4 linked regions of the Caenorhabditis elegans genome follow. The protein of the gene in region 1 interacts with the protein of each later gene in a pairwise test. Each region holds a gene or a part of one and is shown in the gene's direction. Other genes may lie near its edges. The genes, in order: rab-10, hum-2, eat-17 and cnt-1.

Region 1 (6,626 bases):
CTGTTCCTTTCTTTCTCGTTTTCGGAATTTTTCTGGCATCCTCCAGTTAGCTCGGTTTCATCTGCCAACGTAACAATTGGTTCTGTTCTAGTTCTAATTGGTTCTTTTGGAGCCTGTTGGATAGGGCGAAGTGCGCTTCTTTGGTTGGCTGACATGCAGGAATAGATAAGGTCGGCCCAATTTTCAGGAATTCCATTTGAAAATTCATCAATAATTCTACTAGGCATTCCCATTTTTTGTTGATATTCCCGATCAATCTGTCCGACCAAGTCGAAGAAACGTCCGGAAACATCGAAAAGCAACGTAGAAGTGAAGCGTCTCTGAATATTTAATGAAAATTGTTGACGAATATGTTTCTCGACTTACACAAATAAATTCGGAACAAACTTTCTGCATCATAGTGCCTTCTTCATTTCTCACAAAACCTTCGAGTTTGAAACTGGTCGCGTTAAACTGTAAAAATATTGAAATCATGAAAACTTAAAAAAACTAGACAGTTACCTTCATGGACCACAAGTTGAGACGAATGATTTCGCTATCAAGTACATTTTGTACTCGAAGAGGAACAATTTCCGTATCACCCATTAGGCATAAAATACCGTTTATTGGAAGAAAAACAGAAATCGGAATGAGATGTCTCTCTGATTTGAATGCAACGCCTTGGCGGCAAGTGCAACGGAGCGTGTTTGCCTGGAGTCGTTGCAAAATAAAAACTGGGGAATACTTTAATTGCTCAAGAATTAGTTAGAAAAAAAATGGTAATAGCTTGAATATTTGGCTTTGAGTAGTATAAACGGTTTATTTATAGTTTTATAAAATAATTGTTCCAAAAAATCTCTAATTACACTGCTTGAGATAATGAGATATCAGTGAATCTGTGTTCCATGATTTTTACATTAATTTTATCCGCAAGGTGTCACCATTGAACATATTTGAAACAATATTCTTCGAAGCCATTCTCAATATTTAATTTGTTTTTAAAGAGCTTTATAATGAAAATAAATGAAAAATATCGACAATTCATGCTTTTATTAATTTTTCCAAGTCTACTCACTTAAATCACATTTTTCTCCATGATCATCGATCGATATGATTGTTTTCTCCGTATTACAATTGTTTGTTCCTACGATTTTGCCCTAGATTCTGCAAAAGCATTAGTCATTCACAATTCTCTATGTCCGCTCACCGCCCGTCCATTCTAAAGTGGGCGATGATGATTTCGCAATACTCTTTCTCTTCCTATGAACAAACATTCTTTCTTCAATATATTCTTACTGCCATTCTTACAATCCTAAGTGTTGATCGGTCGATAGCCATTCCGATTCCTACTCAAGCTAAAGTCAAGTTGTTCTCACAATCATTCAATAATTCTACATATATGTACATAGCTTCGGGAATTATTTATTCCATACTTTTCCAGCTAAATTGAAGGTTAAAAAGTATACCATAAAAACATATCGATTCCAGGATCAAATTATTCCATGCAGCATGGAATGTGAAAAAACTTCAGATGATTCTGAAAAGTCATAATTTTCGATTCGTTAATTAATTTCGTTAATATGAAGTTAATTCTAAATAGGTGGGAAAAAACTATTATTCAAATTTTCATGAACAGATTAGCTTGAAGTTTTGTGAAAAGGTTTTAATATTAATTTTCGCAATAATTTTGTTTTAAACTCAGAATGATTCATGCCGCTTGAACTTTTTCTTTTCATTTTTTGTTGAACCTTCTCCCACCGGAAACATAAAAACACATGATCCAACTACCACCACTAAGCTGTCAACACTTTGCCCTTTGCTTTCGCCAAGCTCTTGTGAAGCAGCTCATGTCTTTTTTCTTTTTCATCCTTCCAACAACGCGCGCTCTCTCTCTCTTTCTCCGTCTCTATTCCTTTTCTCGTTGTCTCGGTTCCATCGATCTCCCATTCAACATACGGCCGAGGCGCCCTCTCTTGTCTGTATCTCTGGTCTCTCTATCATCTAGAGAATGAGTCCTTTTCTTTCTCCACCATCTCATCAAATTAAACGTCTATTTCGGGGGTTTTGTCTATCTAGTAGAGGTCCAACCACACTAGCCTTCAAAAATTTCACCACGCCCAATGCCCTCCACCACTGAGAATTGACCCTTGTCAACAACCTTGTCTTCTGAATTTTTGATGACAGAGGCAACGGCTTCTTTTGATTTTTGAAGTTTTGAGATTGCGACTTCCTTTTCATCATTGACTCATTTTTTTCGATAATCAAAAATTATACACTACGAGGGAGCGATGTTCTCTTTAATTTTTTTTTGCTGTAGCTTCTTTTAATTTTCAAAACAATTTATCAAAACATAGCTTTCTGAAATCACCCTGAAATTTCAGCTGAAACTTATTATTTGAAAAAATATTAGAAATGTATTTTTTAACTTCAAAAAATCTAGCACATTTTGATATTCACCTATCATAATTATGAGTTAGTGTTCCTATTGTTTTTATATCAATTAATATGTTCATTTCTGTTCCTAAAATATTTCATCACAAATTATTGAAAAATCACAGTTTCTTGAACATGTCGTTCACATTTTATTCCTTATCACTTCACACATCTCATGCCATCTGATAACGTACTTTGCATTACAAAATTGCAAAGTTCACCATTCAATTTCAAATAAAAAGCACTTTCGATCAATAAACGTCCACCTGTACCCGTTTTAGATTCGCTTCCTTTCCAAATAACAATTATAATGATCTCTTTGTGTTTTCGTGACCCGCAGAGGAAGCCAGCAGCTGCTGTTCACCTTTTCCCGAGAATTTCCCAGAAACAGCTAATCGATGTGATTTGCGCATGCACGCGTTAATAGCTCCGTTCAAATTTTTTTTTGTTATAATGGAAACAACAATTAACTATTTTGTCCTGTTTTTTCTTTGACAACATTTTATGACAAAAACCTAATTTTGGAAAACTAGAAAAAAATTAGAAAGTTCTTCCAAATATCTTCCAATTGTCAACTCTTGATAACTTCTTCGAAATCTCAAAGTGTTCGTTCTATTTGCCATGACTCAAGTGCTTTTCTCTTACTTTTGTGCAACTTTAGTTCTCAACTTTTTCTCATTTCAGAAGAAAAATGGCTCGCCGACCGTATGACATGCTCTTCAAATTGCTGCTAATAGGCGACTCAGGAGTTGGAAAAACTTGCATTCTGTACAGATTTTCGGATGATGCCTTTAACACCACATTCATCTCAACTATTGGTTAGTTTTTATTCAGAATCTAGTGATTTCAAAATAATTTTCTTTTTTCATTCAGGAATCGACTTCAAAATTAAAACTATCGAATTAAAAGGAAAAAAGATTAAATTACAAATCTGGGACACAGCTGGACAAGAACGATTCCACACAATCACAACATCATATTACCGCGGAGCAATGGGAATTATGCTGGTTTACGATATCACAAATGCGAAAAGTTTTGACAATATTGCAAAGTGGTTGCGCAATATTGACGAACATGCATCGGAAGATGTTGTTAAAATGATATTGGGAAATAAATGTGATATGAGTGATAGACGAGTTGTGAGCAGAGAACGAGGAGAGAAGATCGCACAAGATCATGGTATTAGGTACGTTTTGGGAGATTAAAAAGGATTAAAAAATAAAAAAATATATATATATAATCTCAAACAATTTTTATTTTCAGCTTCCACGAGACTTCAGCTAAATTGAATGTTCACGTCGATACAGCGTTTTACGATTTAGCAGAAGCAATTCTGGCTAAGGTAAAGTTTTAAAATGTTTTTAAAAATTAAAATTAAGGATGTGAAAATTCGAAATATATTAGTACATTCTTTGCACGGGCGAATATATGTTCTGATAGTATTGAAATCGACGAAAATGTGATAATTAGATTGCTAAATGCATTAGAATCTGATTTTTTCTTGTGAAATTGTTCGTAATTAGTTGAAAAATCTAAGAGCCTTTTTATTTTTGTCCTCATTACTCTTCTAGTACAAAATATGAAGAGCGAAACTTCTTCGTTTTTAATCATGCAAAAAATTTTAATCGCTTCGTCAAAAATTGCACCAGAATAATCTAAATTAGTTTCATTAATACGATTGTTTTTTTTTCATAATTTGTTTTTATTTTCAGATGCCTGATTCCACTGACGAGCAATCCCGCGATACGGTGAATCCAGTGCAACCACAGAGGCAGAGTAGCAGTGGAGGATGCTGCTAGATTCATGTTTTTCCCTCTTACTTCTCTATTCTCCAATTTGGTTTTGTAAATGTTTCATCCGGGTATTCATGAATTTGAATGTCAATACATCTTTTTTGCTTCTTCTTCTTTCCCCCTCATTTTTTTTCGAATTTTTGCCTCACATTCTTCCCTTCTAGGAAACATTTTCTCCATTTCCACTTACCTGTTCTAACTAATGATCGTTTAAATATGTTCTCCATTTCTTTCAATTTCCCTCCCCCTTTTACTTTTCTTACAAATCTTCTCGTGCGCAGAGACTTAATAAAATAAATTGCTCTTCTTCCACATGCTAACTAGCCATCTTTACCTTCATTGCTTACTCTTGTATAATTGACATGTCCTCCCCCTCCCCCCGAAAACCGGTCACTTGTTGAATATCCAACGAGGTCACTCTAACCAACTTCAGGATTATGACAGATGACACCGTTCAACGCAATGCTTTTCAAAATTATCTACCTAGTAGTACTACCTATTTCTTACTGTACGGAGTTATGTACATTCAACGAAGGAACCTGTGAATGGGATATCAGACCTCCGTGGAATGTTGTCTCGTTGGCAATTCTTCCACGTCATCAGCATCCTGGACTACTAAATATTTCAAAGACACCCGATGTTATCACTTCTGGTGAGAAATTAAATGTATTTTCTAATGTCTTCTAGACTACATCTCGTGTATAGCATGTTCACTATTAAATCGAAATGACTAAATACATTGGCCGATCGGAGAACCTGAAATTTAGCTTCAATGGTTAATTTATTATTTGCACAAAGATTCACAACAATCATCTACTATCTCAAAACAGGTTTTATACGGTAGATCGCAATGTGCTCATCACCACGATTTCTTGCCGCGATTTTACTATAGTCACATAGATTCAAGCAGTCTAGTAGACCCTCACGGATGATGTCACATGTTAAAAAAGTTACCGACATTTTTAAAGATCATGTTCTACGGAATGTACCACGTCGGCCGTTTTTCTCATTGAGACTACGGTAGAATCGCGATTTATTCGAATCGTGGCGAGATATCAGTTACAGTTATCTGTACTTTTACAATTTTCTTTTCAGTTTTAGTTATAGTTTTTCTAAACATGTACTCGAATTGGGGCAAAAGTACTAAATATATATATTTGAAAATCTACAATTTTGTACAATCATCAATGTTTTAGGTCAATCTTTTGGCAAAATGCCGAAATTTGGAATCTTAAATATCCGCTTCTGTACTCGTAATTTTCGTGTAGTAACAATGAAAACATTGAGAAAGTAATTTAGTATACTGAAACCATTTACTTCAAGTTTTGAAAAATCTAGGAAGGTCACCAAGTGTGTCCTTTGAAACTTGCGCACTCTAACATAAATGGGGAATTTTAAAGTCGCTCGTTTTTCAGAAGGACCATTCCTACTTGCACAAGGAAAGTTCGCATCAGTGCCCTCGTCAAGAGTTACTTCTCAGAAAATCTCAAAATCAGATCATATGAGAATACTTGCATATCGGTATCAACGTCGTGGAATGGCGACTTTGAGGGTATTTTCCCATTTTAGTTTGAAATTTATGAAAACTCTTACTTATAATTTCAGATTCTTTTAAAAAACCAAACAGACGAGATCTTACTTGATACCATATCCTCAAATGAGATAGAAAGAATCAAATGGCATCGTCGAAGTGTCATTTTTCCTCCAATTCCAGATTATAATCAAACAAGTGTTATATTTGAATGTGATAATATTCAAACTGCTGAAGATATCATTGCTGTCGATGAAATTGACGTGGCAACACCTGCAAATGTTATGTGGGCGGGACAAGATTCCAAGTTTTTTGATGAAGAAGATATACGAAGAAGAGAAATTCGGAGAAGTTCAAGTAAGTTGATATTGTAGACAATATTCGGATCCCTAAAACGTTTTTTTCGTTCTTTCCTTGTTTTTTACTAATGCGAATAATATTCTACAAAAATCCCAAGGACCATCTCTATAACTTTTAAAAATTCAGAATTATCAAATGTATGTACTCCAATCTCTTGTCATTTTCGTTCTTCAATTTGTTCCTGGCAATCAACGAATATTCAACTTCTTCCATCTAAAATTGTGAATGAAGCAGCTGGTGAATCAACTTTGACATCTTCTCCAGTTCGTTTACCAATTGATGCACCATCTTTCATTCAATTACAAATGTTTAATAGTCAAGGATCTGTGACTTCTTTATCATTTCGAAATATTGGTTCAATGAATGAAAAAGTGATATGGACTGAAAAAGAGGATTCATCAATTCCCGATTCAACTGGAACTCAAAATGGATGGAATCGAGTTTTAATTTCATTGGAATCAGTTCCAAAAGGAATTCCAGTAATTCTAATTCTTAAATCTATAACTGGTGCAAACGATTTTGTGGCTTTC
Region 2 (7,849 bases), on another chromosome or scaffold:
ATTGATTTATTTTTCCTTGTTTTGGTAGTTTTCTGGCGTTTTACCGTTATTTTTTAAAGTTTCCAGAGTGTCATTTTCTTTTAAAGTTTTGCTCTTTACATTTTCTGAATTTTCCATGACCTTGTGCATTCACCCAAGCAATTTCTGCACATTTTCTCCTTTACTATCCACTTAGTCACGTTCGTTTAGGGTCTGTCAATAGTCTCTGAGAAGCACACGCAAAAATGATGATTCATCATTCTTGATAACAGCAGTTCGAATAGGTAAATAAACGGAAAATTTTTGAAGATACGACTGCTTTACGTGGTTTTTACGTTTTTTGTTGCTATACTTTTCGAAACCGTTCTTTTTGTTAGTGAATAGTATTTTTGGGGGATGAGTGCAACTCTCCTACACCGTCAAATTTTTTACGGATTTTTTTACGAATTTCTTCCCCAAAAAAAAGGGAAAGAAAAAAATCACTTTCAATTTTTCTGAAATAATATTCCTTACAATCAGCGAATACTAGTTGTCTGTCTCTCGTGGAAGAATTCGGTCACGGACGTTAAACTTGTGCGAAAGTTTTCACTTTTTGTAACAACTGCGAGAAAACAAGTCACATTTCTGGTCACTTTTCGATTCCCACCAATGTGTACTGTGAGACCGGCTCTTACCATCTTCTACAGCTCTTTATTGTGTTCCCAAACTGCACAGTTTCCTAGCAAACGAGGAGAGAGAGAGAGTATCAAAGTCATAGACACGCAGACACATTGTCATTCATTCATATTCTTCAGAGAGCGCGCATACAAACCAGCGAGAATACCGGCTCGCGGCAAACACCGGTGCCTTCTCCAACCCTTTCTGAGCGTTTTCCTTATTCGGTACACAAACATAAGCTCATCCCTCTCCGTTCACTCCGAACGCATCTCAGTCTCTTCAGATTTTGAACTATTTCCAGAGAGGCTCTGCTGAATTTTTTGTGTTCGCAATTGACTCCACGAGGCGCATTCTTTTTTGATCTTCCACCCGCCGCCTCCGGTTTTAGTTTTCTGGCCGACCTCGTCGTTTTTCTATTTTAAAACCGTTTTGCGCTCTTCCTATAATTCTATTTTCGCTTCGATAGTTTTTTGCGATCGAAAACTTTTAATATTGTCCAATGCTTAACTTTGTCCATCAATAAAATCACAATTAGCCCCGAATTCTTTTTTATAGGCGCAAGTGAATATATCAACGCATGTAACCTCGATTTAGAACTTTTATCGCTTCTTATTTTCTTTGTTTCTTCTATCAAAAACTGTTCGTTCTGGAAAATGCGCCAACATCACTTATTCGGATAAAAACACTAGTGCGCTTGTCATCCGTGTTTATTTTGCCATTGACTGTGCGTCCGCACTGTGATGAAAGTGATTGATCATCATTTCTGGTCAGTTTCTGATCACTTGATCGTTTTTCCAGAACTGATTTGTCTTTAATAGCTTGCCAATCTTCTTTTTTTAATGCCCATATGAAAATTGATATCACAAATATAAATATTTTTATTTGTGTTATTTTTATTAATTCATTTTGGCACTTTTTAAGCCACAATAGAAAAATAAAACATTGTTCACTGATAAATTCTAGGCCGACATAGATTTTTTACAGTAAATTGTTCATCGCTTCGAGACCCGCGCGCGCGAAAAGCTCGATGTCCCTTTAATTTTCGAAATAACTTCTAGAAAGTGACTTTTTAAAAAACTCATTTGGAATTAGTTTTTGTTCAAATTTTTGGAATTCGATTTTGTAAAATACCCGTTTTTTTCTTTTGAGAATTATTCGAAGTAGCTTCATTTTTCGTGTTATCTCCTGTTTTCAAAACTAATCACTTCCTCTGCTTTGCGCTCTTACTATATGTGGAAACAACTGTTTCCTCACATTCTTTTACTTCTTCAGGCAGATTTTTTTCATTTTCGGCGCAATTTTATGATGGCCGTCAACAGCTCGTCATCACTTGTCGGAAGCACTGAAAGTGGAGAGACTCTGTAGCGATTAGGCAAATGTTCGTTTTAATCTACCTCCATCAGCAGCGTTTTTAGTAGTAGACCGTCCCAATTTTCGCTTTTGAATTGAAATCGCTTCTTTCCTCGTTTCGCTTTCTACTTTTCGGATTTTGTCGGCTTGTACCCAGAATTGAAAACTAATGTTGTCGTTCTTTTTTCCCACATCACGATTTTGGTTTCTATCCATGTCTTCCTGTTTCCGAATAAGAAAGTGTGGAATTTAGCTTATTTTCTCCTTTTTCTCTATTATTTTATTATCGAAACAAGTGGTAAATACAGGATTATTAGCAGCTACTTATTGCCGATAAGAATTTCTTCGTATTTTAATCACTTTCTCTATTTCTCCGCTCTTCCTTTTCTCTGTTGACACCTTCACACCTTCGCAACGTATGCAGATTTGCTCTGGCGATAAAATTGCCGCAAGGCGCTGGTTTGAAATTTGAAATGGCAGCCGGCTGTCTTTTGTCACCGAAGCAACGCTTCTTTCGTTACTCCCGATTTACATACATTTTCTCCTAAAAATAGTGAACACGAAATTAATTTTTCATTACAACCCATAACGATTATACATTTTTTGATTATCAGCAAGTTCATAGGAGAGAGTAAATTATTATTTTGTTGTCATAAACAAAAAGTAGCTATAAAAAAAACAACGTCGAAACCAGTATTATTCCCTATTTCATTGTGACACAAAAAAGTAGTCCCAAAATGTGATAAATCACAAGTTTCCAAATGAGACTGCCCTTGATGAATAGTAACGAATTGAATAGAACAAGCTTCTTCTCAGTCTCTTAGCGGAGAGGAACACCGGCCGATAAGTGTCCTTGGCAAGTTGCACATGCTTGCAAGAGGCGCCAATTCAAATCTATCTTTTCTTTCCACTTAATCCTACACCTCCTCACTTTGTTTTTCATAAATGTTGAGTGGCGCGAGAGATGGATATTGAGGAATGTATATTTCGGCACCACCGGGGATAATAAATTTTTATGAGGCACCATGCAAAACCGTAGATCTTCGCTGTCTTCACGTCCAGTACGGGAAAAAGTGTTTCATTGCCGAAATGTTTATTTTTGCGTTTCCGAACCTGATAACCGGACAATATCGTAGAATGGGAGAAGGAAGGGCAAATACACAGTGATATGTTCATGTAAATATTTCACGTTTTTTCCTGTCTCAACTCAACATTTCACCAACCTATCGTTTCTCTTCGTTCTCTTCTTAACTTTCTTTAACTCGTGACTTATGTTCAATTATTCCAAAATATTTCAGATTCACCGAGCCTGTTCACCGAATCGAAAAAAGATTGGGAGCATCCAATATGGACGGAGGCGCCACTCTTGGCAGGGGCCAGTTGTTCCCGCTGCAAAACTTCAAGGTGAGAATTATTTAAATCCTACTATTAGATGCCATTTCAGTTTTAATAGTTTTTTGTTGCTCAACTTTGTTATTCAAATAATTTTGGAAATTTTCAGAAGGGAGTTCGTATTTGGCACCGCCACCCAACCCTTGTATGGATTGGAGCTACTTTGGAAGAGGACATCACATTCCAAACACGGAATGTTCGGATAAGGCTCGAAGATGATACGGTGAGAGAGTTTATCGCATTAATCGTTTTCAAAAACTTATTCGTTTCAGGAAGTCGAGTACGCCATCAAGTCATTGGACCAGTTGCCATTCCTCAGGAATCCTGCATTTCTTGTTGGCAAGGATGATCTCACACTTCTTTCCTATCTTCACGAGCCGGCAGTTCTTCACAATCTACAAGTTCGATTTGTGAAAGGATCATCGATCTACACATATTGTGGAATTGTGCTTGTAGCAATCAACCCTTACGCCGATTGCTCGCACATTTATGGAGAAGAAATTATCCAAGTGTATCGAGGAGCTGGAAAATCAGCTCGTGAGATGGATCCTCACATTTTCGCTGTAGCAGAAGAGGCCCACTTCGACATGGGAGCTTTCGGAAAATCACAATCTATTATTGTGAGTGGCGAGTCTGGAGCTGGAAAAACCGTATCTGCGAAATTTGTCATGCGCTATTTGGCATCTGTTGCAGCCAGCAAGACCAGAAATGGCGGGACCACCAGCATTGAAGCACGTGTGTTGGCGAGCAATCCGATTATGGAGTCGATTGGAAATGCCAAAACGATTAGGTTGGTTTATTTGAAATTAATCTTAATTTGTCAACTGTTTTTATTTTCAGAAACGATAATTCGTCTCGATTTGGGAAGTTCATACAGATTAACTTCTGTGAACGAGGACGAAGGATTGTCGGAGCCGAAATGAAGACATATCTGCTCGAGAAAAGTCGTCTAGTATTCCAAGCACCTGGAGAGCGCAATTATCACATCTTCTATCAGTTATGTGCCGCTCGGAATCATCAAGTTCTCAAAGATCTTCACTTGGGACCTTGCGAATCGTATTCGTATCTCACTCAAGGAGGAGACAGTCGTATTCCCGGAGTTGATGATAAAGCTGATTTCGAGGCTTTGCTGAAAGCGCTTCAGTTGCTTGGATTCGACGAAAAGCAGATGTCCGATGTATTCCGCCTTCTCGCTGGATTATTGCTTCTCGGAAACGTGCATTTCGAAAACGGCGAGGGCTCGTCCGCTGTATCTGCTAGCAGTTGTCAGGAGATTTCACGACTTTGCCGGGAGTTTTGGAAAATCAGTGAATCCGATCTGAGAATTTGGCTGACAAGGCGAGAGATTCGAGCTGTGAATGAGATCGTGACGAAGCCGTTGACCAAAAATGAAGCTGTTCGTTCGAGAGATGCTCTCACGAAAATGCTGTATTCCCATTTATTCGGATGGCTCGTCGACAAAATCAATGAAGCTTTGAACGAGAAGGATAAGCTGGACGGAACAAATCAAAAGAAGCGGCCAGATCGTTTCATTGGCGTCCTTGATATCTATGGATTCGAGACATTCGATGTGAACTCCTTCGAGCAATTCTCCATCAATTATGCAAACGAAAAACTACAACAACAATTTAATCAGCATGTCTTCAAGTTGGAGCAAGAAGAATATATTCGTGAGGAAATTGAATGGGTTCGTGTTGATTTCCATGACAATCAGCCCGCTATTGATCTTATCGAAGGTCCTGTCGGAATGATCAATCTTCTCGACGAGCAATGCAAACGTCTGAATGGATCTGATGCTGACTGGTTGAGTCAATTGCAGAATAGCACGGAGCTGAAGAGAAATCCACAGCTCGCATTTCCAAAAGTTCGGAGCAACGATTTTATTGTTCGTCATTTCGCTGCTGACGTCACATACAGTACGGATGGATTTGTGGAGAAGAACAGGGATGCGATTGGAGAGCAACTTCTTGATGTTGTCGTTGCCAGTAAATTTCCATTCATTCGCACAGTCATCGGATCAACTGCACCAACCTCCGTCTCTTCATCATCATCTTCATCGACACCCGGAAAACGTACGATAAAGAAGACTGTGGCCAGCCAATTTCGTGATTCACTCAAAGAGCTCATGTCTGTACTTTGTTCGACGCGTCCACATTACGTCCGATGCATCAAGCCAAATGACAGCAAAATCAGTTTCGATTTCGAGCCAAAACGTGCGATACAACAACTTCGTGCGTGTGGAGTTCTTGAGACTGTTCGAATTTCTGCTGCTGGTTTCCCATCTCGTTATCCGTATGAGGAGTTTGCTCGTCGATACCGTGTAATTTACACGAAGGAAGCTGCCCTGTGGAGAGACAAACCTAAACAGTTTGCGGAATTAGCATGCCAACAATGCTTGGAAGAAGGCAAATATGCAGTTGGAAAAACGAAAATCTTCTTACGTACTGGACAAGTTGCCGTTCTGGAAAGAGTTCGGCTCGATACGCTTGCAGCTGCTGCAACTGTGATTCAGAAGATGTGGAAAGGATTTTTGGCCAGGAGAAAATACGAAACGATGAGAAGATCTTTGCTCATCGTCCAGGCATCGTTGAAAGCATTCCTCGCATTCCGAAGAATCAAGTATCTCCAAATGCATCGTGCTGTGATAGTCATGCAATCTGCTGTTCGTGGATATTTGGAGCGACGGAAGTATGAACAAATTCGCGATTCAATCATTGGGATCCAGGCAATGTTTAAGGCGAATCGCGTCAGAAGATATGTGGAAAAGGTATGATAATTTGTTGAAAGTTTTTTATTAATTGTTTTTAATATTCCAGCTTCGCTATGAGAAATCTGCAATCACAATTCAAGCAGCTTGGCGTGGATATTTGGCGAGACGTGAGCAAATCGCTAACAGGAAAAAGGTGGTCATGGTTCAGTGCGCTGTCCGTAAATGGCTTGCCAAACGTCGTCTCCGGGAGCTTAAGGTGAGTTTGACTTCTTACTTATTCTAATATTAATTTTTCTGTTTCAGATAGAAGCACGTTCAGTTGGACATCTTCAGAAGTTAAACACTGGTTTGGAGAACAAAATCATCGAGCTGCAAATGCGATTGGATATTGCAGTAAGTTGAAGTTTAAGAGTAGATTATGAGAAAAAGCACTTAGTAATTCATTGTTTGCAATCACAATCAGCTTATGCAAAAATGCGCATTTTTTTTTGTAGTCGGAGACAATGTGCAAACATGAAATTTTTGCTCTTTCATCTCAATCAAAAAGCCTTCGAACGAATGAGAGAATTGTTAAGAAAGTTGTTGTATCTAAAACGGCAACATTGAATGAGCATGAGCTCCCTTCCCCTTTTACGATCTGTTTTATTTGCTCTTCGGAATATTTGATTGAGTTTCGGCAACTTTGTAGGCAGTGTATGTGTAGAAATGAGCTTCCTTGAAAAATCCCTTATTTATTATTAAAATATTCACCTGATCAGGGCTGTTGATAAAAAATTTGTTTCAATTTGGACCGAAAAACAGAAAGTTTTCAATTTTTTCAGCATATCAACTAAAACATAACATTTCTGAAAACAGCCTCTGACCTAATCTATCGAGAATATGATACTGATTGCGTGATTGTGGAAACATTCTGCAACTTTTGAATATTGAATTTGAATCCTAGGTGTCATAGGTTTTAAGCTTTTTTAACACCTAGATATTAGAATCTTCTCCATCTATAGCTTTTCAAATTGTTGTTTTCTGAAAAAAAAAGTCAATTGGTAACTCGAGTATTTTTGTGAATATTTAGTTGTGTGAACTCCCAATGGGCCGCTTTTCTTTTCTTGCATCACCCTCTTCACCCCCTAAATTCATGTAAATATTTCTAACAACATGGTGTCTCTTCCAATGTCAAATGTTCCATGTCAACTTGACCACTTGACACATAGTTTGGGAGCTTATCCCGTTAATCATCAGTTGTTTCTTGTGATCCACTGATTGCCGTCTTATGTTTTGTTTGTCAATATCGCAACTGCCAGTTTATTTTTTCACTGAAGCAGTGTCTTATCTTTGACTTTAAATTTTTTTAAACAAGTTGGAACACAACAAAATAATTCGGGTGCCAAACCTCAGTAGTTCTGCAAATAAAATGTTCTTCCCTTGCTCTCTTAGTGCTCACTTGATGCTTCTTTATGGGTCGAGAGTTGGCTCGTTACTCGCTTTTTTAGATAGAGAAACACGATGATGGCCGTTTTTTGAATATATTTTTGATGATATTATCCGAGTGGCGCGCGAGTTTATTCACACTTGAAGTTCGTCTTGACTTATTCGCTCTTCCGCGTTAAATAAAGTGAAAGAGATACACGGAAAACATTCAGTTTTTTAATAATTTTGATGTAAATGTACCATCTAGATTTTAGATTGATCTTTTTGACCGAATTATCGGCTTCTCTGACGTATAGTTTACATTTGCCCTCACGTGATTGCCTATCACTTCCACGT
Region 3 (7,963 bases), on another chromosome or scaffold:
TTATAACTCTTAATTTTAATTGTAGCTTGTGAAAATTAGTTATTGGTTCATTATTCCTTTATGCACAATTTCGTTTGACTTTTGTGCACTTTGGATAAAAATGTGTTTTGATTAATTTCAAAACATTTATTACATCGTACCATTTTTGTAAAAAAGTTTAAAAATATTTTCTCTATCACAGCTGCTCTGACCATTATTCTAGTTGACCTTTTCCCAATTCGAACATCCAGCGAACGTTCAACAAAAGTCTGAGCAGATGCTCCTCACAGACACAGAATTTTATAACACTCTTCAGCATGAGACCGAATTTTGATCAGTGTCTGTAGCTTTTTATTGGAAAGCTCTTTTTTTCAATAGTGTATTATATTGGAAAGTATGTAGAAGTAGAAGTTGTTGAATTGAAAATGTCCGCATTTGACAAAACCTTCATAATGTTTTGCTTTTTTTTAAATAATATTATTAAAGTTGGGCAGAATTTTTATATATCATTGAATTCTAAAATCTGAAATCAAAAATCACAAGCGCAAAGAAAATTCGTAATTAACAATTCCACGCTATCGGAGATTCGCTATACATCAAGAAAAATAATTTTTTCGTCGTTCAGGAACTTTTGAAGAACAGACTTTGAGGTTTTTAACTTTATTTAAAAAAATATTAAATCTTAAATTTCCATTAACCGTAATAAAATTTGTATAAAAAATTTTTGTTTCTTAAATTTCAAAACAATTTCGTTGATCTTTTGATTTCAAAAAAAAACAACTAATCAAGATATTTTTGACAACACACTTGATTTGTTGTTTTTTTTTTATCAATAGTTTGTTTTATGCTTCAAAACAGAAATAGGCCAGTTTTAGGCTTGAAGAAGACCACAAAATTTTCTTTTTTAAAAAGTTTTTAAACGCTAGATGTAACATTTTCATGGATATTTCCTTGCTGTTTCATTTTTATATTATATTAGTACTAAGAAAAATGATAAACACCTCAAAAAGACCCACATATAAATTAAGTTTCTTTTAACATTTTTTAAAAAATTATTTTTTTGAGATTTAATATGTTTAGAAATTCTGGAATTTTTCCCCCAAAACCCGCAAAAAATATAGATCCTTTTTGAAATGTGAACTTTCCATGTTATTCCTCTTTTCATGTTTTGATGGCTAATAAATCATAACGAAAATCTCCGCGGACTTCATTTCAATTTCAATTGTTAAATTTCAATTTTCATATTATTCTACAAAAATAAATACTTGATACACTTACTTATATTTCAAAGTCTCTTTTTTACTCTCACATTTACCAATTCTAGACTTGCATACTGTTCGATTGCACACCTCCCCCCTCTTTTGATCTTGTGTTGGAGGCGCCCCCCGCGCGTTCTCTCCCCTCTCTTCTTTTCCGTCTCTCACTCTCTCGTCGCAACGGACCACCATTTTTTGATTCCGTTTCCCTCATTAGTCACTCTCTCTGTTTGTTTTCATTTCAATTTTTACTTTTTAAAGGTTTTGTTTTTATTTTCTGTTTTCTGTTTTCCGACAAACTTTTGACATATTATTTATGAATTGACTGTGCGGTTCTTTTTTAGGTTACGGTAGTTGGTACGGTAGTGTTTTATCAGTAGTGGATACAAAATTTGGAGAAAACCATATTTTCATATTTTATCCTTGAAACCCCTTAAATTTTCGAGCTTACTCCGATACTTTTGATTCTTCCGGAAAATTTAAAAACTACTGAAAATTTTTACATTTAAGTCGCACATTTTACTCTGAAACATTCTGAAATTTTATCATTATATATATATATATGATTTATCTAGTTGAACGTACAGTAATATCATACCTCCAGTAACTATTCATTCTGCTATTTTGTTCGCCATTCCACTCTTCTCTATTCTTCCGTCCCATTCGATTCTGATTCATATTTCGGTGTCAGGGTATCAACACCACCACCACAAATATTTGCAGGCGAAAGTTTTTGCTTTTTTTTTGTTCGCCTCTGCGACCTACTAATATCAAAATCTCCTCATCAAACAGGCCAGCTCGTTGTGCCACTTTTCAGTTAGTCATTTGGTATACAAATAAAAACAAAACCGATAAGATGCAGGGCCTCGAATTACTCGGGTTCTCAGTCAGTTAGTGTCCGTCGGCGGAAATGTGAAATTTTCTAAAATTAGAGAAGATTGGGTTTCGATAATTTTTTTTGTCGGGTTGTGGAAAATTGATTCGTCATGGGTAAAATCGTAGTAAAAGATCTCGAGATATGAAAAAATTGGAATTTTTCTATAAATAAAATGGATTACGGTATAGTACGGTAGAAAAACTACGTTTTCTGATGAAGGTCTGTGAAAATGATTTTCAACAAAATTAGGACCGTATAGGACCGAGCTATTGGATAACTTTTTTCCAGCTTATACAGTAAGAAGTCCAGCAAAGTTTTGATATTTGATGTAATCTCGTTCTGAAAGTAGATAGAATTAAAGTCCACTAGCCACACGTTGCACCTCTGTTTTGGCTTTCACAAATAGTATTATATAACCGTATAAATAAATAATGACATCAGTGTGGACGCTGCTCCAATCCGTAAATCTCGTCCCTCCCCTCACTCCCGCGCGCCTTGTGTTTCCCTCCGGAGAGCAAAACCCAGCGCGGAAACCAAGACGTGTTGAAAAACTAATAGTATGTCTTGAAGAAGCTAAAGCACATGACCATATTTGCTCCATTTCTGTGGGAAGAAGAAGCGATGGATTCAGAGACTCGCGGTTTGGTTGTGTCACGCCTACTTCGGACTGTGCGCACGGCCCGATCGCCGCCCGGTCTCTTGCCTCGCGTCGCTCCCTTCGCCTATCGTTCTCTTTTCGACTGTATGCTGTTTCGCGTCCTCCTCGCTACGACCATATAGACTCAATAGTGGCGACGGACGCGCAAAACACGGCTCTCGGCTCAAAATTTTTCCCCCTCCCCCGCTGAGCTCAACTCGGGATTGTTCGCCACTTTTCGACTGATTATCTCTCGATCAACACCCATACGACCAACAACAACAACAATAGAAAAAAAACAGCTACCAACATCAAAATATTTCACTTTATTCCGTAACTCTACATATTCACGATGGTGCCCTCGCCGGCTCTTGTCGGAACGCCATCAGTGTTTCCACATCATCAGTCTACGTCGTTTTTTCAAGAAACTGCTAGCTTCTTCAATCTAGACTGGGAGCGATTATGGTAAGAATTTTGGGATCATTTTTAAAATTGGAGGTTTTAGAAATTATATTTTTGAAATGGTCAGAACATTTCTCAATTCAAAATTTGAGACTCATTTTTTTCAAGTTCCCAATTGTGCTTAATCTACTAGTACTCAACTATCTTTCTAATAGCCTTCCAACTTTAACTGATCGAACTGTACCTCCTCTTGTGCTTTAGAAACTTTGTATTATTGGTCGTTTTAATCCTCTACGTCAAATTTAATACATTTTTCCTATTTCTGTGCAAAGACTTTGATTCAAGTAATCTATAGGGTGCTTTCCATCAATGTTTGATTTGAGTTTGATGTTTATTTACCAGTTTTAATTTGATCAACTGAACTTGGCCTACTATCCATCAATAGATTAGCCTTTTCTCTTGCCAATTAATTTTTGACTGGCTTTTAATCAAAAATCATTGTTCCAACTCTTCTCTTCATTCTTTTTTTCCTCTAGACAAAGCTCTTCACCCGTTTCGGTCCGTGCGCGGCGCCATTTTTGTTCTTCTCCTCCGATTGGTCATCGACAGTTTCCAAAAATATCCTGGCGCGGCGCCACGGAAAACCGGCGTTTTCCTGTATGCATACAGGAGGAGTGGGGGGGGGGACGAATCTAATTTTGGAACACTAGGTACACAAGCATGATGGCATTCCGTTGGCCGTGTGTCCGAAACCTTGACCAAACCAGGAAATTGTGTGATTGGCATGTTGGCAACGAGTTTTCCCGAGATTGAGAATGGAACAAGGAACTGATCTTCGAGCGCGCGCACAAAGTTAGGGACGACAACGTTCTGTTTGCTCGTGTTGAACTCACCGTGGTTGGTTTTTTTCCCTTGCAGTTTACTGCAGGGGCTAGCTGCTCCGAACGTGACAACACGAGCAAATATACGGGACCGAGGGGTCAGTCAGCGATAAATAGGTCAAGGCTTTGTGTAAATCCTCGAAACGTGGTGGTGGGGTTTGATAACAGTTTGATGAGTCGTGTACAGTTGGTTCGAGTTGAGATGCAGGGGAAGGTGTAAGCAATATTGCTATGTATTATAAATTGAAAGAAAAGGTCGATCCGTTCTTCATGCGCTATGCACTGCGGATCTGGGACTGCCCGGTGGTGCTCCCGCTGGGCTATAATTTAAGCCACGTCCTAGCCGGGGACTGTGGCCGATAATCCAGTTGTGGATTACTCCAATAGTGGCTGGATGTACCTAGGGGTGAGGCCGGACTTGAACTCGTGGCCTCCAGATTGCTTGCGTACCGAAGGAACTATCCTGCCCCTCTGGCTAATTTGAAAAACGCTAACAGCATAAGACATCGCAAACTTTGATCAATGTCGGCTGCTTTTACTATTTCGTTTTTCTATACTGGAAATAAGGTACAAACTGGCAAAGTAATAGTTTTTGCACATTGGCTTTGTAGAATAATAAGACAAGTTTCACTGAGACCTGAACTTTTCATTTTCCGGAGTTTTGATTTTTTGGAAATCGGAATAGTGTTAACAAGTTGTAAAATTTGCCACATTTTCAAAAGAAATTCCTCTAGGTTTAGATTTTATCCTGTTTTCTTTGAGCTACCATATACTATCGTGTCCTCAGGAACTCGTGAAACTTTGTACAAACCCTTTTCTCTGTGCGCTTCAGAAGGTAAAACTTCATAAATTTTCATTTTGTACTCAGATAGATGTAGAAATCGCGGCAAGACCCACTCCAAAAACATCATCGTTCCAAACTATGATAGCTTAAATTTTACCATCAATAGGACGGTATTCATCACAATTGCGACTGCTAACTCGCATCATCAATTGTATCAGCATTGGCATGCAACACACAGGAAAACATGTTTTGTATTAAAGCGGTCGGGTAACCTGTATACATCTCGTTTTCTCTGCCACCCTCCACTCTCTCACCATTTCCACGCGACGTCTTCTACGTGTGGGATATACTACAGAAGAACACAGGGAGAGAGAGAGATAGAGGAGGGAACACCGCCACCACTACGCAACAGTGCACAGGAAGGTCCACACACACCACACCTATCCTCTTCTTCCTTATTTATATCCTTTTTATTGATTGCGTGCGTGTTTGGCAATATCTGACCCCGACCTTTTTTCTTCGCCCTTTTTGTCCTCAGATCGCTTGATCTCACCTCAAAACTGACCGCCGCCATCCGTTCCTGTCAATTACACGTCTCGATGACTACTGACGACTTTTTTAATATTACAATTGGATTTGGTTACGAAAGCCTTTCTTTAGTTTGGAGTTTTTAGGTAATTGAGAAATGATTTTAAATAGGAAGTTTAGCTGAAAGTTTTTAAGTTTAGTTACAAAATTTAAAAAAAAAAAAATTTTTTCACTTGAAGTTTTGGCAACATCAAATTAACGAAATTTTATACATACAATTTGTAGAAAAAAAACATTTGTTTTTTTTGACGGCTTAAATTATGAGTGACTGAGTAATCGTAACTTTTTGACTAAAAATTTGAAAAAAAAAACATTAAAAAAGTTTTACTGTGATATTTGGCCATTTTAGCACAGTAGGTGTAGTCTCCAAAAAATTCACATAAATGTTTTTTTTTGTATTTTTCAATTTTGGTTGATTTAAAATTGAACTGAATATGAAATTTAGAAATTTGTGTAGATCTACAATGTTGAATTCAAAATTATAAACTAGAACAGTTTTTTTTCTGAAAAAATAACAATTATCATTTTTTCCGACAGTTATGATTATTTTTGTTTTAAACAATGTAGAAAGTTTTGAGTGTATTCTGAATAATTTTCAGTGCATCATTTTCAGTCAAACTTTATGTTTTTTCTCAAATCTCAATTAATATTAAAAGTATTCCCCATCCACGTGTCCCTTACAAGAGAACTGTTTTGTTATCTCGCACTATGCAGAGGCGGTGGCTAGTATTAAAACTGATAAGGAAAGCATTCAAAGCTGGAAGAATGACACAACAAGAGATGGCTCGCCCACCTTTTGAAATTTGAAATATTCCGTTAGTATTCCGTTCTTCGTGGAACTTTATAGGAACAGCTCTTTGCATTTTTATTTCATTTTGTATTGTGTTTTTCGACCATTGCAATGTTGACAATGATGGGGTGGAAGGAGGTTTTGTTAATTAAAATTAAAGATGACGCCTTGCGTGGTGTCAGCGGCTACTTGATTTCTCCCCGTAGCTTTTTTCTTTGCGTTTTTTTTTTTCAGTTTAAGACTTTTCTCTCTTCTGTGCTACCCAAAAAGTGATTGGATAGACTTCCGGTTTGACTATTGACATTTTTACTCATCAGTGCTCTCCTTGGCCAGCATTACTTTGTACAATAAAAAATGGCATTTTCATGACGCTGATGACTCTTTCCATTCGCGTTTTCCAATTTCTATATGTTCGATCATTGAAATATGTTTTTTTTTCAGGCATTCGCGTTCAAACTCGAATTCAACGTCGTCGCCACGCAACTCGCCGTCCCAATTGTCACCGCCGATGGCAGCCACTGCAGCGCTACGTCGGAGTTCGGATTACGGTAAGAACGGTTTTTCAAAAAAGTTTTATAGACTTTTGAATTTTGATATGCAGTTCTAAAAACAGAGACACTTACGTTAATAGAAATAACTTTTTTTGAACTTTCTTTTTAGTTTTCGTTCAAATTGGCCCCTCTAATTTTATCTAAAACTAATAAGGACTATACTTAAAAACAGAGTTCTAATAGTTTAAGCCTACGTGTCTAAGCCTGAAGACTTTCTAAGCCTAATTTATACTCAGGCCTACCAATTCACGATTTTCTACCAGAATTATTTTTTAAATTCAAAATTCTGTATTTACGAGAAATATTTGAATGTTTTCAAAAAATAATTTCTACAAACGAAACTATAGGAAAAAATGTGCCGCACCCTGAAAAATGTAAACAATATTGTCGTGGCGAGACCCAATTCGCAGTTGTTTTCTAGTACTAGTTTTCCCCCCAATTTCCCTTTCCATTACTATTCATGATAGAAAATTGAATGCAAACACGCAAAGCACAACAGTGCCGCGACGATTTGCATTGTTATAATACGGACGACCACCACCACCACACACACATTCACACACCTGTAAATTTAAATATAGTTTAACAACTAAAAAAAATGGGGCAAAACTAGGGAGTGGGGAAGTATTCTTAGTTGTAGATGTTGTAGTAGTAGTAGTAGTAGTAGTAGTAGTACTAGTTTACTGTGAGCCAGTAGTGCTCAGCTGCTCGTTTATGTATGCATTGTAAAGGGAGGGGCGGCGGAAGGAGAAGAGCTTCTCTTGTAGTTGGACACATAGCTACTGGGTCACCGAAATCTTTAATTGGGCCTCGACCGACGAGGTGGGCGGCTTTTTACTTTTATTAGAAATTGTAGGTCGCCTTTTTTTCCCAAGTCAGGTATCTTTAAAATTTTGACAAAATACTGAAGACGCAGAGCGGTAAACGTTGGGAAAAAGTATGTATACATCGAATCACAGTTTGTCTTCTTTTCTCGCCGCTGCTTGTTGACACTTATTGATTTTTGACTGTCCTACCTGAGCAGGACGTGAGACCAAATAGTTGCGAAATTAGTCTTTTTCACTGCATAGGTTACTCATACCTGCGGTGTATTTATTTTAAGTGTTTTTTTTTCGAGTTCTACTTTTTGGCGAAACTGCAGTAATGTTCCTTATGCGCTGATATCCTGTCTATGGATTTTCAAAAATTTTATGGAAAAAAAAATTTTCTTTATAAGAA
Region 4 (7,682 bases), on another chromosome or scaffold:
GGAGCTGTAAGACAACTAGAGCTTCTCTCGATTGGAAGATATCTAGTACTTGAAAATGTGTTCATAAAGCTTGGAACTACTACAGAATAAGTCATTAAGCTATTTTCTGTTCCTAATGTTCGTTTCTACAAGAAGTGCAATAAATTGTAATAAAATGTGTCCAACTGAAATGTTGTTGGCAATAGTGTCAAAAACATTTGGTCTTTTTAGGTTTCAATGTTTTTTTTTCGATTTATGAAAAAAAATCCAAAGGGTACCCCTTACAAAAATTTTCTAAATTTTTTTTTGAAAACTTTTTAAAATTTGATCAGATGTTATAGAAAAAATGCAAAGTTTGTAGTTGATCTAGTTTAGATGTTCTGAACACGAATTCAGACTAAAACCTGAGGTATAGTAGAACCTCAAAATTCAAAATACGCACTCACTTCGGATGTTGATATCTCCGTGGGAAAATTTTTTAAGACAAAGTAATAAACTACAAAGTTGTATATCTTAATCTGAAGTACAACTTTGTAGTTGATTTTTTTTTCATTAAAAAATTTGTTGGTTGAGATATGGACAGAAAAAGAAGAAGAAAATACAAGCATGAAGGTGCCAAACTTTACACAACTTTATCTCGACCAACACATTTTTTGATAAAAAACAATCAACTACAAAGTTGTACTTTAGATTAAGATATATAACTTTGTAGTTAATCACTTTGCCATAAATTTTTTTTCCACGGAGATATCAGCATCCGAAGTGAGTGCGTTTTTTGAGCTTAGGGGTTCTACTATACCTCAGGTTTTCGTCTGCAATAGTGTGCAGAACATCCAAACTAGAAAAACGACAAAAATTGCACTTTTCTATAAAATCTGATCAAATTTTGAAAAGTTTTCAAAAAAATAAATTTTGGAAAATTTTATTAGATAGAGGTAGTCAAAGAGCATTTGAAGGTAGTCAATGAGCATTTATACATCAGATTTCATCTCCATTTTTTCCGGAATTTTAAGAAATGAGAAAGTGCACGACCTTCTTAGACATCAAAAAGTAACATGTTATTGAAAATTCTGATTTTTCAGCGAAAAAAACTATAAATTTTGAAAAATTAGATAAAGGTAGTCAATGAGCAACTGAAGGTAGTCAATGATCCGAAAGGTAGTCAATGAGTGTTTGCCCCCCTCTGAACGGATGCCCCCTACGAACAATTGCCACCTTTGACCTAATGCCCCCTTAGAACGCGATGCCCCCTCTCACGATGCCCCCTGGGAACATGGGCCGGCAATTTGTCGATTTGCCCATTTGCCGGAAATTTCAATTCTAGCAATTTGCCAATTTGTTGGAAACTTTCAATTCCGGTAGCTTGTCGATTTGCAGAAAACTGCAATTCCGGCAATTTACCAGTTTGCCGATTTGCCGGAAATTTCAATTCTGGCAATTTGCTGGTTTGCTGAATTGCCTAAAATCTCAATTCCGGCTGTTTGTCATTTTGCCCATTTGCCGAAAACTGCAATTCCGGCAAGTTGCCTGGTTTGCCGATTTGCCGGAAATTTCAATTCCGGCTGTTTGTCATTTTGCCGATTTGCAGGAAGTTTCAATTCTGGCAATTTGCCAATTTGTCGAAAACTTTCAATTCCGACAAGCTTGTCGATTATCCAGAAATTTCAATTCCGGAAATTTGTCGATTATCCAGAAATTTCAATTCCGGCAATTTGCCGATTTGCCGATTCGCCGGAAAATTCAATTCCGGTAATGTGCCGGTTTGCTGATTTGCCGATTAATTTTTGAGCTTTTTTGCAATGTTTCCAAGTCAAATAAAACATATTTTCAGATAAAAAAATTTTTTTATTTTATCACTAAATTTTGATGAAAAAAGTATTTTTTGTTGGATAATCACGTGGTGCCAGGCTGTCCCAACACGGTTTGATCTACAAAATTGCGGGAACTTTTCCCGCAAAAAATGTGACGTCAGCACGCTCTTAACCTTGCGAAGTCAGTTGAGAAGTCTGCGTTTCAACTCCCGCATTTTTTGTAGATCTGCGTAGATCAAACCGAAATAAGACTCTGGTACCACGTGTACATATGTGTAATGTTGTTGCATTGCAAAATTCCAATTTCCCCGTAACTCTTTCTCGTCTGCCTAGAAAAGCAAAGTAAGAGAATATTAAATTAGTTGCGCTCTCGGTGCCTCCCCTTCTCCTCCTCTCACCCAATTTCATTCTCAAGCTCTCTCCACAAAAAAAGAGTATTGAAAATCAAGAGAGTTCCTAGAGAAACAAGCAGTGAATGTTTATATACGACTGTCCTTTTTCTCCAAAAATTTCGTCCTTTTCTTCTTCCCCCCACAAACACAATGACCTCCGTCCGAAAAGTTGTCGCGATGTTCTTCTCCCGCCGTCTAACTGCCTGCGTCTCTTCTCTATTTCTCTCCCTCGTTTTCCTGTTCATCACCATCATCATCAGCGGCAGCCGTAGCGGCAAGAGAGAAGAAGAACCGGCTGTTTTTCTGTTTTTTTTTTCTGTTCTGAGGCTTTTGTTACGTGTCTTGGAATTTTTCTCTTTTTCCTTTATTGTGCGAGTGATATGGACTTTTGGTTTTCTTTAAAGGCGCATACGGAAGTTTAAGTTGTTGAAAAAAACATTTGAAAATGTTTTTTTTTTTAATTTCAAAAGCCACGTGGCATATTTACAGCCACTTATCAAAAAAAAAGTTTTTTTACCCAAAAATTGTTGGTCGTTTTTATAGGATTTTTTTTGCGAAATTTTGGAAATAAAATTAATTTTAAAATTTAAACTTAAAACTTTTATTTTAACATTGGGAAAATTTTGTTATTTTCCATAAGTTTCGATAATTTTTGTACAGAAAAATGGTGATAAAATTAGTTTTTCTTCTAAAAATCGGACTTTTCAGACTTTTTTGAATTTTTTTCAAGTGAAAAATTTAAGCAATTTTTTTAAAATCAAGACTGTTTTCAGTTTATTTTTCTATTTTTAGCTATTAAAAATGAAAATTTTCAAGAGAAAAATGTTTTTTTACCATTTTTTCGACATTTTTTCTATTAAAATTGCGTTTTTAAAAACCAAATTAATTAATTGATAAACATGTGCTGTCAATTTCAATGCCAAGTACGCAAACACCACAGCTGCACAGTACCAGATCTACCGTACTCTTCAATTAATTAATTGAAGAGTACGGTAGATCTTGTTCTGTGCACCTGTGGTGTTTGCATACTTGGCATTGAAATTGACGACGCAATATTATCAATTAATTATTTTTGATTATTTTTTCTCAATTTTCAGCCGAAAAAACTCAATTTCTTCGTATAAAATCGATAAATTTCCAGATTTTATGACAGTATCAAACAATGGAATGGCGATGCCGTCTGTTCCGCCAAAAATCGACTGCTCCGAGGCAATTCAGGTAGAAATTCCCTCAAAATACACCAAAAACCTAAAATTTTTGCAGGATTCTCCAAAATTCCGCGCAACAGTCGCTCAACATGCAATGTATTTTAATCGATTAGAGAATCGGCTCAACGAAATGCTCCGACACATCACTGCAATGATTGATTTCAGCAAAAATTATACGAACACGTTTTAGTACGTGAAAAAAATTCATTTTTGGGGTCTCGAAACGATTAAGCTTTCAGATTACTGTATTTTAAAGGCACATAGCGAAAAATAATCGTTTCAAAACCAAAAATTCAAATTTTCTCAAAAAATCCCCGTTTTTTCCAGCAAATTAACGGTTTCGGTGAATCAATTATGCGATGAAAGCTTCTCCGGCAATCCATTGGCGTCTACAACATTCCAAGGATTATCAGAAGCCTATGCACACACTGTTAACCTATTTCGCACGTATTTCGACCATTCAAATGTGGTCACTTTCACGAAACTGTCGAATTTCATTAAAATGTGAGATTTCCGGAGTTTTTTTTGGCGAAAAATCATAAAAATCGATAAATTCTGAGTTAAAAAGGCCGAAAATTACAAAATAACGAGTTTAAGCGAATTTAAATCAAAATTTCGTTTTACTTTAAATTTAGAGGTGAAAAATTCAAATTTCCCGCTGATTTACTAGATTATTCATTCTAGAGGTACAGAAAATTGACAAATTTGAACAATCGAAAATTTTAATTTTTTTTGAACTAAAGGTATTTGGATTGAGCTAAAAATTTTAAAAAAATTTTTGAGCCAGAAAACTTCAAAAAAATTTCTATATTGGAAAAAATTAATTAATTAATTAATTAAATAAATTAAAATTCCTGTAAAAAAATTTGCAAAAAAATAGGCAAAACTCGATTTTTTCTCGGGTTTTTTGGTAATTTTTCAAAAAAAAAATCTTTTTTGAAAAGTTGAATTTCCCGCCAAATTAAAAAAAAAATCAATTTTACGTATAAAACAATATAAGGCAATTTTTTTCGAAAAATAATAAATTTCCAGCCAAAATTCAAGTGTTTTTAACCAAAAATCGCATAATTCACAACAGAAAATTGAAAATTCAATTAAAAATTAGATTTTTCGAAATAAAAAAAATTCAAAAATGTTTCCTCTAAAATCTAATTTAAGTGAGCTCACAAAAGTGGCAGAATCCCGTGCACATTTTGAGAATATGTCCCAATCAATGGATGATGCATTAGTCAAAAATGCGAGTATTTCAAGGCAAAAGCCTGCAGATGCGACAGAAGGGCGAAATGCACTTACTGCGGTGAGTTTTTTGAATTTTCAACGAAAAATATTCGAAATTCTCGATAAAAAACCAAAAAAAAATTCATCCAAATTTTTGAAAAAAATTTCTTTCTAAAAATAGGTATTGTACTGAAATTTTTTTTTACAAATTAAAAAACAGATATCTTTTTTTCGCCAAAAAAATTACTTAGTGATTTTTTTTTGTAAATTTTTAAAATTTTTTCTTCGAGAAATATAAAAATCGTAAATTAATTTTTGCAACAAAAATTATTGATTCATCAAAAAAATGTTAACTTTACTGAAATTTTTTTTTTAAATTTAATTTTTCGAAAAACTAAAAAAAACAGAGAAAAAAACCTAATTCAAAATCGACTTTCTTGAAAAATGCCCATTTTTACTGAAAAGAAATTTAAAAACATTTCTTTTGTAATTTTTTAAAGATTTATATTTTTCGAGAAATATAAAAATCGTTAAAGCGAACAATCAATTTTTTGAAAAAAGAAATATTGATTTATCAAAAAAAGCCGATTTTACAGTAAAAAAAATTCCAAATATATTATCTTCTTTTTTATTTTTTTCAAGATTATTTTATTTTTCGAGAAATTGTTAAAATAAATAATTGATTAATTTTTGGATAAAAATTTAATAATGTTACTGAAAAAAAAAGAATTTTCTGAAAAAAAAAGTCTATTTTTTAAACAATAAATCGAAAAATTTAAAAATGTTCTTAACAAAATCAAAATTTCTGGTTATATAAAACATTCAATTTTGTCGTTTTTTTTTTTGCTTCACCTTAAATAGTTTCTCACAAAGCGTCTCAATTGCAAGAAAAACCACTCAAAAACCCTTAAACAAATAAAAACATTTTTTTTTTCAAACCAAGAAACCCGCTCTTTTCCAGGTCGGCACTTGCTTCGCACACACCACACTCGACTACGTGGCAAATATTAATATTGCACATGCACACAAGGACCATATGATTCTCGATGCGGTTCGTTTTGAATTTTGAAAATTGTTGGTTAAAAAAATTAGAAATTCCCTCGGCTAATGTGAGAGTTATCACATAAAATAACGGAAACTTTTTTTTTCCAAAAATTTGAAAAAAATTCAAAATATTTTATTTTTAGCTGTAAGAGTTTTAGAAAGATCAATTTCTTGATTTTTTGCTCAAAAATTTAAGAATTTATAAATTTTTTTGTAGCCGTTTAACATTTTACTTTTGCCAAAAAAAAACATTAAAATAAAATTTTTAAAAAAATTTTAACTAAAAATTCAAAATATTTTATTTTAAACTGTAATGCATTAGAACTTTGTTAAAAAATTTGTTTTTGAATTTTTAAACTCAAAAACTTGAGAGTTTTGAAATTTTAAATTTTGCGAAAAAGCCCGAAATAAATTTTTTTAAAAGTTTTTTGACTCAAAAATTACAAAATTTCTCAATTTTTAGCAGTTTCGCATTATAATTTTTCACTAAAAATTTCAAAAAAACTTTTTTCCACTGTAGTTATAGTTTTGGTAAAAAAAAATCAAAAATAATTTTTTTCCCGTTTTTTACTCAAAAATTAAAAAAAAACATCTCAATATTAGCCATTTTCCTTTGAATTTTTCTTATTAAAATATTCAAAAACTTCCAACTTTTAGCCGTTTAGCATTCTAAATTTGGTAAAAAACATTAAAAAAAAATTTTTTTTTGTTTTTCGGTCGAATTTTTGATGCCAGTCCTGGTCGTAAAAAATAACTTTTTTTGTTGAAAAAAAAATTAAAAATTCCGGAAAAAACCAAAATTTCACTTTCTTCGAAGTTTCCAAAAAAAAAGTGACAAAGAATAGAGAAAAAATGAATAAATATTTCGAAACTACCCCTCCACTCGACTGCATTTTTCTTTATTTACCTAGCCATTTTTGATGACGCGCGTCCCGTCTTTTTCTCCTCGAAATGCTCTTTCCATCTTCTTGTGCAGCACCTTTTTTTGGGAACACAAAATATCAAATTTCCACCAAAAAAAAATTCTGGAAAATTTTACTGAAAGTCTGAATATTTATAGGTTACTATTTTCGGTTTTAAAAATTTTTTTAAAAATTTTTTCTAGGCCATTAACTTATTTTTCTAGGCCATCTTTGTTATTATCTAGAGCATAATTAATTTTTCTAGGCCATTAATTCATTTTTCTAGGCCATCAATATTTTTTCTGGACCAGCGATTTTTCTAGGCCAGCTGTAATTTTTCTAGGCCATCTATATATTTTTCTAGGCCATCAATATTATTTTCTAGGCCATCTTTGAATATTTTCTAGGCCATCTTTGTAATTATCTAGAGCATAAATAATTTTTCTAGGCCATTAATTTATTTTTCTAAGCCATCAATTTTTTTTTCTAGACCAGTGATTTTCTAGGCCAGTTATAATTTTTCTAAGCCATCTATATATTTTTCTAGGCCGTCTTTGTAGTTATCTAGAACAGAAATAATTTTTCTAGGCCATCAATAATTCTCCTAGGACATAAATTTAAATTCTAGAATCTTTGTTTTTTTCTAGGCCACATATATATTTTTCTAGGCCATCTTTGTAATTTTTCTAGGCCATCTATATATTTTTCTAGGCCATCTATATATTTTTCTAGGCCATCTTTGTAGTTATCTAGAACAGAAATAATTTTTCTAGGCCATCAATAATTCTCCTAGGACATAAATTTAAATTCTAGAATCTTTGTTTTTTTCTAGGTCACATATATATTTTTCTAGGCCATCTTTGTAATTTTTCTAGGCCATCTATATATTTTTCTAGGCCACATATATATTTTTCTAGGCCATCAGTAACTTTTCTAAGCCGCTTTTGTTTTTATAGACCATCAATGTTTTTCTAGGCCATTAATGTTTTTTCTAGGCCATTAATGTTTTTTCAAGGTCACCAATATGTTCTAGGCCATCAATATATTTCCTAGGCCACCAATGTTATATTTATTTTATTTTAAAAAAATCAGTCTTCTCGAAAAAAAGAAAATATGTCTTTAAAAATT

What was found.
Region 2: the proteins of rab-10 (region 1) and hum-2 interact in a two-hybrid assay, tested with the Caenorhabditis elegans proteins (one study listed by BioGRID).
Region 3: the proteins of rab-10 (region 1) and eat-17 interact in a two-hybrid assay, tested with the Caenorhabditis elegans proteins (one study listed by BioGRID).
Region 4: the proteins of rab-10 (region 1) and cnt-1 interact in a two-hybrid assay, tested with the Caenorhabditis elegans proteins (one study listed by BioGRID).

What each region holds. Positions count from the first base shown.
Region 1 is NC_003279.8:6,454,950-6,461,575, reverse strand, and holds rab-10 (Ras-related protein Rab-10), read left to right. Parts: upstream 1-3,096; 5' UTR 3,097-3,103; coding exon 3,104-3,230; intron 3,231-3,285; coding exon 3,286-3,598; intron 3,599-3,675; coding exon 3,676-3,754; intron 3,755-4,124; coding exon 4,125-4,211; 3' UTR 4,212-4,294; downstream 4,295-6,626. Other genes in the region: knl-2 (Kinetochore null protein 2), read right to left, coding at 1-320, 367-453, 502-585; mam-8 (MAM domain-containing protein), read left to right, coding at 4,650-4,857, 5,621-5,757, 5,811-6,093, 6,223-6,626. UniProt on the Caenorhabditis elegans protein: The small GTPases Rab are key regulators of intracellular membrane trafficking, from the formation of transport vesicles to their fusion with membranes.
Region 2 is NC_003283.11:9,382,897-9,390,745, forward strand, and holds the start of hum-2 (Myosin motor domain-containing protein), read left to right. Parts: upstream 1-3,278; 5' UTR 3,279-3,333; coding exon 3,334-3,390; intron 3,391-3,487; coding exon 3,488-3,601; intron 3,602-3,650; coding exon 3,651-4,168; intron 4,169-4,216; exon of another isoform or gene 4,217-4,218; coding exon 4,219-6,145; intron 6,146-6,194; coding exon 6,195-6,344; intron 6,345-6,391; coding exon 6,392-6,481; intron 6,482-7,849.
Region 3 is NC_003284.9:16,411,979-16,419,941, reverse strand, and holds the start of eat-17 (Rab GTPase-activating protein eat-17), read left to right. Parts: upstream 1-3,101; coding exon 3,102-3,214; intron 3,215-6,635; coding exon 6,636-6,742; intron 6,743-7,963. UniProt on the Caenorhabditis elegans protein: Rab GTPase activating protein for the small GTPase rab-6.2. Required for grinder formation, which is the feeding organ that breaks down food.
Region 4 is NC_003280.10:12,084,508-12,092,189, reverse strand, and holds the start of cnt-1 (Truncated cnt-1), read left to right. Parts: upstream 1-3,321; 5' UTR 3,322-3,328; coding exon 3,329-3,400; intron 3,401-3,445; coding exon 3,446-3,579; intron 3,580-3,717; coding exon 3,718-3,894; intron 3,895-4,548; coding exon 4,549-4,687; intron 4,688-5,569; coding exon 5,570-5,659; intron 5,660-7,682. UniProt on the Caenorhabditis elegans protein: GTPase-activating protein for the ADP ribosylation factor family. Regulates endosome recycling downstream of rab-10 and upstream of arf-6.